Linked DNA regions of Stegostoma tigrinum. The protein of the gene in region 2 purifies or fractionates together with the protein of the main gene of each other region. This does not show direct contact. Links are inferred from orthologs where the notes say so. Each region holds a gene or a part of one and is shown on either strand. Other genes may lie near its edges.

Region 1 (7,245 bases), on a different chromosome or scaffold from region 2:
TTTTACAGCAAATTACAGATCCAGATTTTTGGAAAGCATTTGACCAAGAATTTATGAAGGAATTACAGGTAAAAGAGCTAAAGAATAAGCTGTAAAATGGATAAAAGACAGGCAGCTATGACTATTAAATATACTAATTATGTCATGGCAATAGCTAGGAGGTCACTCTTACTTGCGTACTTTATTAACATTTTTGACAGGGAGATAATAAGAAATGATAGAAAGTCTAAATATACCAAGGACTATTATATAATAGTATAATATTTGACTGAATTAGCAATTCAGCCAACAGCATTTATGATAATAAATTGCATATAAATGGCACAGTAAAAAATTAGGTCCTAGAGACTACCACCATTTCACAATGAAGATTTAACACTGTAATGCAGATATTAAGACTAACTAAAAGCAAAATACTTAAGATGCAGACAATCTGAAATAACAGAAAGGGCAATGGAAGCTCAGTTCTAGCAGCAGCTGAGGAGAGAAAAACAGTTAAATCGAGCCATTAACTCAATTTCTCTGTTTAAAAAAACCAAAAGAACTGCAGATGCTGTAAATCAGGAACAAAAACAGAAGTTGCTGGAAAAGCTCAGCAGGAACGGCAGCATCTGTGATGAAAACATCAGAGTTAATGTTGCTGGTTTGGTTCTGAGGGTCACCGGACCCGAAATGCTGTTAACTCTGATTTTTTTCCCACTGGTGACCTTTCCTCAGAACTAGACCTGAAACATTAACTCTGATTTTTTTCTTCACAGATGCTGCCAGACCTCGAGCTCAATTTCTCTGTCCGCATATGTTGCCAGGTCTGCTGAGTTTGTCCAGCATTTTCTGTTTTTATTAAGAGAAACTGCAATAATTAAGTGGTCACTTTAAAAAGTTTTAAAAAATTTTAGAAGCACATTTCTTCCTATAAATTCATATACTGTATTTGCAGACTAATTAACTTTCAATTATTTGTAAAGGAATTGGATAATATTATCAATTATACCACCATATGTAGTAATTTTAAGGGCAAATTTACTGTCCAAATTCTGGCACTCATCTCAGTATTCCTCATTTACAGTGGCCAACTAACCAGCAGAGCTTGTCATACAGTCATTGAGATGTACAGCATGGAAACAGACCCTTCTGTCCAACTTGTCCACACCAATCATGTAGCCTAAAATAATCTGGTCCCACTTACTAGCATTTGGCCCATATCCCTATAAACCCATCCTATTCATATAGATGCCTTTTTTAAATGTTTTAATTGTACCAGCGTCCACCACTTCCTCCGCCAGCTCATTCCATACATGCACCACCCTCTGTGTGAAAAAGTTGCCCCTTAGGTTCCTTTCAAATCATTCCCCTCTCACCCTAAACCTATGCCCTGTATTTTTGGACTCCCCTACCCTGGGAAGAAAAGACCTTGGCTGTTCACCCTATCCATACCCACCATGATTTTGTAAGCCTCTATACGGTCACCCCTCAGCCTCCAGGGAAAATAGCCCCAGCCTATTCGGCATCTGCATATAGCTCAAACCTTCCAACCCTGGCAACATCCTTTTGTAAAGCCATTCAATCACAGCATCTTTGTTATAGTAGGGAGGCCAGAACTGAATGCATTATTCCGAAAGTGGCCTAACTAATGTCCTGTGAAGTTGCAACATGACCTCCTAACTGCTATACCCAGGGTAACTTGTGGAGGGTATAATCCAAGCAGCACAATGAATGGGATTGCGGGATCAGGCGGCTGATTAAGAATACTTAAGTTATTGAAGCTCTCATCAGTTACCTTCCAGAGGATAATTCCTGAAAATTAACCAGTATCTTCCCCCGGTGGAGAACTTTTATGAAAAGAAAGATTTACATTATGTAGCACCTTTCATGAGCTCTGGAGGTTCACAAGCACTTCACGCCCAACAAAGTACTTCTGAAGTATACTCAGTATAGCAATGCCTTAGGCTTTGTTAGTTTTTGTTGTGGTAACTTGCAAATATGGCTATTTTAGAAGATATAAAATCATGCACCACTCACTTTTTTTTTACCCAGAGTAGCAAGTTTTATACAATAAATGGAAAACTCCCTAGTTAATGCACAGTTTGGACATCAGACATGCACAGTGCACCTTCTCCAAAAGCAGGTATTGTAGATCTCATAAATTGCATCATCTGAATGATCTTTAATAATGTGAAGAAAAGTTCCAAAGTACTGCACATGCAAGATGAATTAGGATTAGGGGTAGATGCCTGAGCATAAATTCCACTTGGGAAGAGAAAACAGTTCATAGAATCCCTACCATTTCGGTCCATTGAATCCACACTGAACAGCATCCCACCTCGACCCCTATCCTATAACCACTGCTAATCCACCCAACATACACATCCCCCTGTACTATGGACAATTTAGCATGGCCAATCCACCTAAACTGCACATCTTTGGACCATGGGAGAAACTGGAGCACCCAGAGGAAACCCGAGTAGACGCTGGGGAGAATGTCCACGCAGACAGTCACCCGAGGCTGGAATCGAACACGAGTCCCTGAGCTGTGAGACAGCAGCGCTGACCACTGAGCCAGTCACAGAGGCCTCTTGCAAAAGTGCGTGTGCGTCTGTGGCGGTGAGGGGGGATGAAATCCATACGGCTGTGTTACAAATATTTGATCGGCAAGCGCAAACAGGTATCTGTTTTTTTTCTGTGTCTCAGGCACGTACTCCAGGCGCCTGGCACGCTATCAGCACCCTGACGATTGACAAAAGAAGGGAGAGTGTGTTGAGGCGGGCGGCAGGACCCAGAGAGGTGATGGTGGTGGTGGACGGCCCAGAATTTCGCCCCCGACTGACGAGATCAGGGGGGAGGGGAGCAGACAACGGCATCAATCAAGAGACCTTGGACAGTCTAGACCATGTCTCCCCTCCTCCTCTACAAATCACTTCTCGGGAGGATTGTGTTGACAGATCCTCCCCCAAGATCTGGGTCTATTTTCCAGACATGTAACTCCAATTATTTGCATAAACAGTGTGAAAAGTACTCCCGCACACGCAGAACGAAAAAGGAAAAAGAAACTACCTGCACCCAAACTTAGGTCCTTACCCGCAAACCGTTTCGATTGACATGTTCAAACACCATCGTCTAACAACTGACCGAAATTTCAAGGAAGTAACTGACGACCCCGAGATCGCGCATGCGCGGCATCAGCCGAGCACGCCGGGTGTTGTAGTTTGCAGAGACAGCTCCTTACAGGGATGGACGAACGCCCGGACTACATTACCCTGCAGACAGTGCGGCGAGACGATGGACGCCGTCCCACGAGACCGGGCTCCGCCTCCGCGTGCAGGGATTGGGTAACATGCCGTCAGACTATTCCGAAGTCCTGGATACTATTGGTTACAACAGACGCCAATTAAAACGTAGGGCCAATAGACAGCAGGGTCTGCGGATGATTGACAGTCGGGCCCTCTATATTTTCGAGCGCGCGGCTGGCTCGTCCTCTTTCTGTGGGGACGTTGTCTTGGTGGAGGTTGGTTTTTCTTAATGATAAATTATTGGCCTTTATAATCGGTGCAGACAAATCTTTAGCGTCGATTATTCGCGGGGGAATGAGCCAACACGCATTTAACCAATTCAGTTTCTTAAAAGCAGTGCTTAAAATGGGGCAGGGAGCACGTGTTAGTGTCCGGTATCTTCCATTCGGCCTTTCATAACGTTTCCTTCACACACCCCTCAACTCGCTGTCCATTTGTAGTCTCTCCATCTGAAGCATTCACTTTTATTCAGCGCTTTGTGAGTGGCTATGGGGTGGTCGGCCCCATATCGTAAAGGGCAATCGTTTGTTAAGCAGCTTTTGTTGGCGGCCCCTCAAGGGGCTGACCCCGGAAGTCTTTTAGAGGAGCCTGCTAAGCTCTTCAAACTAGCCGCTTTTTGCCTCGGTGTTTGTAACCCAGACACTCTCTCGCCTCTTAAATAATAAAATGTGAGGCAGCAGGAGCACACTCTGACAAGGTCACTAAACATGCAGATAAGAGATCATTAGGGACTGTGTGGTGCAGTATTTTCTGGCACAATGCCAGATGGTCTGTGCTCCTGAGATGCTGCTGGGCCTGCTGTGTTCATCCAGCCTCTCATTTTATTATCTTGGAGCATCTGCAGTTCCTATTATCACTGATACAATTTTAACCTCTCTCGCGTCTTAGTTGTATTTAAATAGTCGCCCACGCCCGTATCGAATGTCTCCAGTGACCGCCACCTTAGCGTACTCCAGGCTGCACAGTTCATGCATCGACTACTTCCTGAGTCACGATTTTCCTCATGTCTGACCTAGGGGTCGTTCACTTCTATCTTCCTTGCTGCTTTTTTCAGGTCACTGTAAATCTGCTAGCACTTTATTGTCCACGTTTACAAGCCAGAACACTTATCCCTACCCGCTGTATTTAGCCTGCTCCTGATTTTGAATTTTCTACATAGAAAATTAGGTTCTTCAACCAACCCTGGTGCTGTTCTAAATTAATCGTGTCTCCCTGAAGCTAGTCTGTATCCCTCAATTTTTTGCCTGCTGTGTATAAATGCTGCAGTCAGTCAAGGTGGCATTGGGAATTCTCTATTGTCTCCCCTTTGGTTCTGTTGTCCATGCTTGGTTGAAATCAGGTTGTGCAATTAGTGACAAATAATGGGAACTGCAGATGCTGGAGAAAAAAGCTTTTTCTGATAAAGGGTCTAGGTCCAAAACGTCAGCTTTTGTGCTCCTAAGATGCTGCTTGGCCTGCTGTGTTCATCAGCTCCACACTCTGACAAGGTCACTAAACATCCAGATAAGAGATCACTAGGGACTGTGTGGTGCAGTATTTTCTGGCAATGCTAGATGGTCTACAGTTTCTTTGTAGAAATTGCCTTGTATGTTAACAATTCCACTCTGCATGGGTCTGGTGCATGTTTCTAATTCAGTAATGTAAATTTGGTTTATTTTGCTTCACTTTGCATTGTATTTTCAGTTAACAAATTACCAACTTGGTCCCCCATTGGGAATAATGTAATCAATTTGGCAGGTGTGACTATACATTTTAGAGTTCAAAAGTTTTCAAAGCTAACTTTGGAAGTGCAGGAGCTCACTTTCAGAATAAAATAACAATAAGCAGCAATTAAGTAGCTTGTACATTTTGGGTGCATGAGGCTGAATTTATGGCAGTGAGTGGTTGAGGTGGATATCAGATCCATTCCTTAAGTGCATGAGCAAGGATTGATTTGTTTCACTATCAAAGAACTGTATGTTGGATATTTGGAGCAGCGTGCAGGGTAAGTTCAGCATATCTGGCAGCACTTAGACAGTTGAGTCTGTCAACCCTTTAATGAAATGCACCACTCTTATTTACTATGCTTGATTACCGTTGGATTTGAGCCTTCATTTTAAAGGGTGGGAGGTATATATCTGCAGTTCTTGATTCTCCCAAATTTGAGTTGTCAATTTAGTGCTACATGAGGGCTGAAATAGTAACAGCTGGTGGGCTGCATTGCCTATTACTGTGCTGTAATTGAGCATTGTTTGGAAAACAATTGTGCATGACACCAACATTACTGCAGTGTAACTTTTTTATATTTTACATGATCACTAGGTATGCAGTTTTCTGACTGGGGGAATGCATCAACTGAATTGTTACGCATGCAGCATTTCTGTTAAAACTGATGTAATGTTGAAGGTGAGTTATATTGCTGGATTTAATCCTGTTGGGGTAGGAGGTTGAGCAGAGGGATCTGAAATGTAGGTATTTCTGTCCCAGAAAAGTTAAAAGCTGTTGCTAAGACACTACTCTTCACTAGCTTAGAGCTGTTATTTCCTGGAGTCTGAAAATTGACCTAATGCTTTTCTATCTTGTATATATGGATTGGAAGCAGAGTTTTGAGAAGATTTGTAGCTCAGGTTGAGGTTCTGAATGTGAATTTGCTTGCTGAGCTGGAAGGTTAGTTTTCAGACGTTTCGTCACCATTCTAGGTAACATCAGTGAGCCTCCGACAAAGCTCACTGATGTTACCTAGAATAGTGACGAAACATCTGAAAACTAACTTTCCAGCTCAGTGAGCAAACTCTCATCCTGGAAGCACACTGCCTGTAAACTGGTGCTGTGTTAAGTTCATCTGGAGAAGATGCTTAACTTAAAACTCCTCTTGTGGGGCAGAAGGCACTGCCTTGTATGAATTGATTTAGTGGATTGCTGCTCTTTCCAATAAAATAGCTTTGTTAAAACAGTAAATTTTATTTTTTGTATACTGTTTGTGGGCAATGTTTTGTTCTGAACAAGTTGAAGTATTGGCCAAGATTGATTTTTAGCCTGTGGCTGTTTAAATATGACCACTAAGCCTGTGATGAGCCTTTCTTTATTTCTGACATCTCCACTGAAAGTGTTGCATCAAAGCAATGCTTGATTATTATTTTTGTGGCTGAGGCTTAATTAGAAAGACGGTTGAAATGAATAGTTTAATGTTAGCTTAGTCTTGTATAACTTCAAACTAAAAATGCTTGGATTCCTGGCAGTGTCTCATGAAACTTAGAACAGTGTGAGTAAGCAGGTAAAAATTAATGGATAACTGCACCCTTGTTCTAGTTAATCTAATATGGCTGAATACATTGCTCGGAGTGCCAGTGTGAAGTACTAAGCAAACTTTAAAATAGTGAATTTCAAGAACTTTGCAAATGCTCAGTATGAAATGCATCTTTCTGACATCTGGTGTTATGTTAAAGTAATGCATGATTATTTGAGATTAATTTTAATTAACTTTTTGTGTTTTCAATATTCTTGAAAATACAAAGGGGACACCACTGCAGATTGGATGGGCTTTTGAAAAGCCAGAAGTCAGATAACACCATCTATGCTTGGACTATAACCTGGTCATGTGACCTTGGACTGTGTCCACCCTGGTGCGACATCAGCTTCACCACACTTTGTAAAGGCAGACAGGTAATTGAACTTGAGGCAATTTCAGGGTCCAGATCACTAATGGGTCCTTGCTGTCTTGTATGGCTCACAGGTAAAGTAGCCTGTGTAGAAAATGTTAGTAGACATTAACACGGTTTACAAGACTGCTTTTTTTGTAGAAGTAATTTATGTATTAAACTTTACAAATGGTGAACAGTTTTCTGACTTTTTAATGAAGGTGATGCATTAAAATGCTTGATCATTGTGGTGTCTGAGGGTTGATCAGAAATGTAATTTTTTTAAATTACCTGTACTTCAGGTGCAGCAGTAACTACTGATGGAACACTGGGTACAGCAA
Region 2 (7,418 bases):
CTAGGTTTGTTCACTTCACTCACACCAGTTGTATGATCCTTTGATCTCTCTGCCTATTAACTTGGGGTCTATGTGCTCTCCTCTCACTGCAACTAATGAAGGGGCTGCGTTCCGAGAGTTTGAGATTTCAAATAAACCTGTCGGACTATAACCTGGTGTCTTGTAATGTAATGCAGCTTTGATGGTGCAGACACTAAGCAACTATTGTCATGTAGGAGAGTGACTAATCAGAGAGGAGGGATTGAAGAGAACTAGCAAAGAATCAGACCCAAGATTAGAAAAGTCTGACCAGAAATGTGCCGCTGAAAAGAACAATGAAATACGTGCAACCCCCAATTCTGAGATTATGCCCTCTGGTCCTAAAATCTTCCTCGACAGGATCCATCCTGTCAAGTCTCCTGAGAATCTTCTATGTTTCAATAAGGTCTCTTCTTACTCTTCTAAATTCCAATGAGTACAGGCACAATCTACTCAAATTTTCTTCATAAGATAGTTCCTATAACTAATATCAATCCAGTGAACCATCTCTAGATTGTCTCCATTCCCAGTAGATCATTCCTCAGATAAGGGGCCCATAACTGTTCAGAGTACTCCAGCTGTGGTTTGACAATGACTCAAGTTTTAGCAAAACCTCCCTAATTTTATACTCCATTCCCTTTGAAATAAAGGCCCTCACTCCTGGATAAGTTAAAATTATAACATCCCAGTGTTACACAAAGTCAGACCTGTCATCAATAATGTAAACCAGTGTTATACAAGGACTGACATGTCTTGTCTGGTAATATACCCACGTTATACAGCAACAGACCTGGCCCCACGAATACTGTGCACCAGTATTATAAAGCAACAAACCTGTTCCCCACCACTGTACCCCAGCACACAGCTAGGTCTGGATACCCAAAGGAGAGGCAGCATTGACAAAAGGGACAGACAGTGGACTGGCAGCAATGACTAGAGAAGTGTCAGATAGGGAACAGGAGGTATAGAACCCACACATCACTAAGCCCATGGCAACAACTTGGATACAGCAGTCATGGAGGCAACTGAGATCCTACAGCCCATTACAGATACACAGGAACCCATTTCAGGGACTCAGACCAATGTAAAGCAGCAACCAGAGTAGCAGCAGAGGGGAAGCAGGAAGAAAGAGAGATCAGCCCTATTGTAGTAAAACCTTTGCATTATTTTCAGTGTTACAAGATGATGCTGGAGCACAGCAAAACTTTCCATGTAACATGTGAAAAATGAGACAATAAATCTAAATCATTAAACAGCGGCAGACCTGTCCCCACCGGCGCTGAGCCCCAGCGTTAGACAGCAACAGACCTGTCCCCACCGGCGATGAGCCCCGGTGGCAGACAGCGGCAGACCCGTCCCCACCGGCGCTGTACCCCAGTGTTATAGAGCGACAGACCTGTCCCCACCGGTACTGTACCCCAGTGTTATACAGCGACAGACCTGTCCCCACCGGTAATGTACCCCAGTGTTATAGAGCGACAGACCTGTCCCCACCGGTACTGTACCACAGTGTTATGCAGTGACAAACCTGTCCCCACCAGTACTGTACCTCAGTGTTACTCAGTGACAGACCTGTCCCCACCGGTACTGTACCCCAGTGTTATGCAGTGACAGACCTGTCCCCACCAGTACTGTACCCCAGTGTTATACAGTGACAGACCTGTCCCCACCGGCACTGTACCTCAGTGTTACTCAGTGACAGACCTGTCCCCACCGGTACTGTACCCCAGTGTTATGCAGTGACAGACCTGTCCCCACCGGTACTGTACCCCAGTGTTATGCAGTGACAGACCTGTCCCCACCAGTACTGTACCCCAGTGTTATACAGTGACAGACCTGTCCCCCACCGGTAATGTACCCCAGTGTTATAGAGCGACAGACCTGTCCCCACCGGTACTGTACCACAGTGTTATGCAGTGACAAACCTGTCCCCACCAGTACTGTACCTCAGTGTTACTCAGTGACAGACCTGTCCCCACCGGTACTGTACCCCAGTGTTATGCAGTGACAGACCTGTCCCCACCAGTACTGTACCCCAGTGTTATACAGTGACAGACCTGTCCCCACCGGCACTGTACCTCAGTGTTACTCAGTGACAGACCTGTCCCCACCGGTACTGTACCCCAGTGTTATGCAGTGACAGACCTGTCCCCACCGGTACTGTACCCCAGTGTTATGCAGTGACAGACCTGTCCCCACCAGTACTGTACCCCAGTGTTATACAGTGACAGACCTGTCCCCACCGGCGCTGTACCCCAGTGTTATACAGAGACAGACCTGTCCCCACCGGTACTGTACCCCAGTGTTATACAGTGACAGACCTGTCCCCACCGGCGCTGAGCCCCAGTGCTATACAGTGACAGACCTGTCCCCCACCGGTACTGTACCCCAGTGTTATACAGTGACAGGCCTGTCCCTACCGGCGCTGAGCCCCAGTGTTTTAATCGAGTGACAATGTTGTTCTATAGCCCTGGCTGGAGGAGCAAAGTCTCCATTGCTGTTTCCTGGGGCCGGTCAGAGTTCTGTCTTTGTTTCTGCAGCAAGTTCCTGACAGTTCTGCCCCAGCGAGTCCAGAGAGGCTCAGAAACAGGACTAAGCTCGGGGGTAGGCCACAGGTCGCAATCGTTGGGGATCGTGGTGGGGGGGGGGGGGGGGGGCTATTTTCAGAACAGACCACCGCCTTCGCCGTTCCGTTACCGAGGCTCCGAGCTTCCCCAACCCCACCACATTCCCCCACTTCCCCTCGCCGAAGGCCTTAAACCTTTCCTCAACCCTGAGGCCCCGCTGCTCTTACCCGAGTGCTGAGCATCCAGGCCGCAGGCGGCGGAATCTCTCCCGGGTCAATTCCGGGCCTGGCCCCCGCTCTCCGTCCTCCTACTCCTGCCGCCGCTGCCTCCCGGGAGGAACGTCCGGCACCGGGAGGAAAATAAAAACTCCCCTTTTTTTGCGCCGACGAAAAATTTCCCTTCGCGGGGCGCCCGAATCTGGCAGAGTGCGCTTGCGTCACAGCGGGGCACAGCCACTGCGCCTGCGCCGAACCTGAGTCCCATCAGTGCGCCTGCGTGGAAGCCGGGCCCGGCCGGTGCACCTGCGTGCCAACAGTGGCCTGCGCCTGCGCATTTGTGGTTCTGTGGGCCAGAAGGTGTGAAAATCTATTGAAACCCAGGGATTAACCCCAATGAATTAAACAGAACTGAACTAGATCTCATTGAAACAATAGATGAAGACAGTGGCTGCCTCATGTCTTGTTAGACGTTGATTTGTGCTGTGGTGTTCATCTTTTTCCTGGGCATTGCCTTTTGGGGCTCAGGAAAGGACCGCTTTGCAGAACACCTCCGCTCAGTTCGCAACAAACAACTGCACCTCCCAGTCGCAAACCATTTCCACTCCCCCTCCCATTCTCTTGATGACATGTCCATCATGGGCCTCCTGCACTGCCACAATGATGCCACCCGAAGGTTGCAGGAACAGCAACTCATATTCCGCCTGGGAACCCTGCAGCCATATGGTATCAATGTGGAACTTCACCAGTTTCAAAATCTCCCCTTCCCCTACTGCATCCCTAAACCAGCCCAGTTCATCCCCTCCCCCCACTGCACCACACAACCAGCCCAGCTCTTCCCCCCCACCCACTGCATCCCAAAACCAGTCCAACCTGTCTCTGCCTCCCTAACCGGTTCTTCCGCTCACCCATCCCTTCCTCCCACCCCAAGCCGCACACCCATCTACCTACTAACCTCATCCCACCTCCTTGACCTGTCCGTCTTCCCTGGACTGACCTATCCCCTCCCTACCTCCCCACCTACACTCTCTCCACCTATCTTCTTTACTCTCCATCTTCGGTCCGCCTCCCCCTCTCTCCCTATTTATTCCAGTTCCCTCCCCCCATCCCCCTCTCTGATGAAGGGTCTAGGCCTGAAACGTCAGCTTTTGTGCTCCTGAGATGCTGCTTGGCCTGCTGTGTTCATCCAGCCTCACATTTTATTATCTTGGAATTCTCCAGCATCTGCAGTTCCCATTATCTCTGATACTATCTTGGCATGACTGTCTGCTATAGTCCCTGTATTTTATTGCTTCTCTCCTTTGTGTATTCAGTTGCAAGCTTTCTAATTTCATGTTTGTCTCAAAGAAGTTTGCATGAGAAAATAAGCTGCTGAAGCTTTAAAAATGTTCATCTTCACAAAGTGGAGCCCCACCCTCTGCAAACACAAGGGATATGTTTAAGATTTGCATTCTTCTTTTGTTTGCATTACCTGGGAACTTGTGTGCTTTCTTCATGGCAAGGCCTCAATCCGTCAGTGTCAAACTGTCTACTGTTGGAACCCTTGCTGATTTTTTTCATTTTTCTTATTCTTTTATCAGTTTTGATCTTGAGCTGAAGATGACTTGTGAATGTTGTGAAACAGCTTGTGATAGAAGGAAAAGGACAGATCAAACAAGCCTTTGTTTATTCATCAGGCCAGGTCTGGAAGATCACAAGCTGATTCTTGACCAAAAGGGTTCCTACAACCATTGCAATCCAGGAATTGTATGTAAACAAGATAATAAAATGTGAGGCTGGATGAACACAGCAGGCCAAGCAGCATCTCAGGAGCACAAAAGCTGACGTTTCGGGCCTAGACCCTTCAGAGGGTCTGATGAAGGGTCTAGGCCCGAAACGTCAGCTTTTGTGCTCCTGAGATGCTGCTTGGCCTGCTGTGTTCATCAGCCTCACATTTTATTATCTCGGATTCTCCAGCATCTGCAGTTCCCATAATCTCTGATTGTATGTAAACAGATAGCTGAAGTTGGCTATTAATGAGGTTTGTACCTGGGAGTTGGTTCCAGCAGGTCTGGAAGAGACTCGATGTCCAAACAGATGGCAGATGTTGAAATGTAATTGAGGCCTTGGGAACGGACAGTCTATTGGGGAGGAAACGATAAAGACTACAGAGTCCAAAGCTGTGAGGCTGGAGAAACACAGCAGGACAGACAGCATCAGAGGAGCCAGAAAATCAATGTTTTGGGTCGAAACTTTTCGTCAGGTCCTGACAAACAGTTTAACCTTGATATATTGACTTTCCTGCTCCTTTGATGCTGTCTGACCTGCTGTGTTTTTTCAGCTTCAAGCTTATAGATTCCCCCTGTTAGGGAGGAACTGGAGTTGGAGTTGTTTTTGAATTGTGTTATCTGAAGGAAATGAGCTTGGCTAGTATGAAGCAGCATGTCAAATTGTAAAGACCCTGCCTAATCTCCCAGACCAGCTTTTGGAAGCCCAGAGATTAGAAAGATGTATTAGAAGCATTACCACCTTTTCCTGAATGAGCTGAGAAGGTGACCCTGATTGATTATTCCTGAAAAGCAACCAAGCTCTCCACATCTATGCCTGTGAAACTGTCGGAGGCTGAGGGCTGACCTACAGGGATTTATAAAATCATGAGGGGCATGGAGGATGAATAGCTGATGTTTTTCCCCTGGGATGGGTAAATCCAAATCTTTGAGTACATATGTTTAAGGTGAGATGGGAAAGATTGAAAAAGGACGTAAGGGATAACTTCTGTGCGGAGGGTGGTGCGTGAATGGAATGGGCTGCCAGAGGAAGTGGTGGAGTGTGGTACAATTACAACTTGTGAAAAGCCTCTGGATGTGTAAATGAATAGGAAGGGTTTGGAGGGATATGGACAACTTGCTGGTAAATGGGACTAGATTAATTTGGTCAGCATGGATGAGTTGTTCCAAAGTGTCTTATTTCCATGTTGTACATCTCTCTGACAGTATAACACATTGTGAAAGCTGTTTAACTAATCTGGCCAGTTCCATTATTTTCTTTCAAAATCCTTTAATTGTGTTTTTTTGTATGTCTGTCTTCTGTGTAAATGATAACAAATGTTTCGGGTTTAAAGCATAGATATTAATCTGATTATGTTGTTGTTTAAGTATTTTTTTCTGTTGTAGCTATTGTGTATGTACTAAGGGTTAAATTTCTTGTTTGTGATGCAAAAACAGTGTCTGAAATTAATTATTGACAAAGTCTGGGATTGATTATTGAATTGTCTGGTTAGGAACCATTGGAGTAACTATTGGGCACCTCTGATGGTTTAATTTTACTGTGTTGCAAATACAGAGGTAGAAAGGCTGATTTGATTCTGTGTCTGTATCTTGACCCTAATAATCAGCATACTTTCTCTCTTAATGTAAATTGTTCAGCTCATTTCAAATTTGACACTCTTTATCAGTACAGGCGAAAAGCTGAAGCAAAATGCCACTGTCTACAGAATATTCATGTTCTATTCTACCAAGGGACAGTTTTTAAAAGATCATATTTTTCTTGGATGTCCTTGGTATTTGCTTTAAAACGTACATTAATTTCATTCAAGATTAGCTACAGATAACTAGAAATTAATGTTTAGAAATGCAGTTGCAATCTGGGAGGTGCAGCAACCAGTTTGATCTCAGCACCCTGCCGCAAACAACCCTGTGATAATGAACTAGTTATCTGCTAAGTGGTAGTAGGCTCTGTGGTGGAAGTTGCTGAACTAACAGCAGGGGTGTTGTGAAGGTGTCAAGTATGTGTGCCTGAGAGAAGCAAATCCAGTTCCCAGTGCCCTTTGAATGTGCACTAACATCTGAAGAAGGACTGAGGCTCCAGAAGAGATAATGGGAACTGCAGATGCTGGAGAATCCAAGATAATAAAATATGAGGCTGGATGAACACAGCAGGCCCAGCAGCATCTCAGGAGCACAAAAGCTGACATTTCGGGCCTAGACCCTTGGATCTAGACCCGAAACGTCAGCTTTTGTGCTCCTGAGATGCTGCTGGGCCTGCTGTGTTTATCCAGCCTCACATTTTATTATCTGAGGCTCCAGAAGCTTGTGTTTTCAAATAAACCTGTTGGATGACAACCTGGTGTTGTGTGATTTCTGATCTTGTCCACCCCAGTCCAACACTGGCACCTCCACATCATCACTTTTTACAATTTTGACCCCTACTGCATGAAAGAGGAGTTTGCATATGTAAAATGCATTTCATGTCCAAGGATGTCATTGAATGCACTGTACCCAATGAAGGGTTTTTTGAAGGAATTACCGTGACACAGGACATGGAATGGATTTGTGCACAAAAACTAAACAGTAACAAGATCACGACCAGTGACATTGGCTGAGGGATAAATATTGACCAAGACTTAGGAGAGAACAGAGGAACATAGAAATTAGGAGCAGGAATAGGAGGTTCAGCCCTTCAAGCCTGCTATGCTATTTAACATGATCATGGCTGATCTTATCCTGGTTTCAACTCCACTCTCCTGTCTGCTCCCCATAGTTCTTTATCCTGCTTTTTGATTTGATTTGATTTGATTTATTGTTGTCAAATGTCCCTAAGTGCAGTGAAAGGTTTTGTTTCAAGTGCAGTACAGGCAGAT

The links.
Region 1: the proteins of map3k2 (region 2) and traf7 purify together in Homo sapiens (affinity purification with mass spectrometry; 3 studies listed by BioGRID and IntAct, with this or other methods). This does not show direct contact. The link is inferred for Stegostoma tigrinum from reciprocal best matches to the Homo sapiens genes MAP3K2 and TRAF7.

The regions. Positions count from the first base shown.
Region 1 is NC_081376.1:38,848,421-38,855,665, reverse strand, and holds the start of traf7 (E3 ubiquitin-protein ligase TRAF7), read right to left. Parts: upstream 3,168-7,245; 5' UTR 3,076-3,167; exon of another isoform or gene 3,052-3,075; intron 1-3,051. UniProt on the Homo sapiens protein: E3 ubiquitin and SUMO-protein ligase that plays a role in different biological processes such as innate immunity, inflammation or apoptosis. Potentiates MAP3K3-mediated activation of JUN/AP1 and DDIT3 transcriptional regulators.
Region 2 is NC_081360.1:103,957,995-103,965,412, forward strand, and holds the start of map3k2 (mitogen-activated protein kinase kinase kinase 2), read right to left. Parts: upstream 3,016-7,418; 5' UTR 2,813-3,015; intron 1-2,812. UniProt on the Homo sapiens protein: Component of a protein kinase signal transduction cascade. Regulates the JNK and ERK5 pathways by phosphorylating and activating MAP2K5 and MAP2K7. Plays a role in caveolae kiss-and-run dynamics.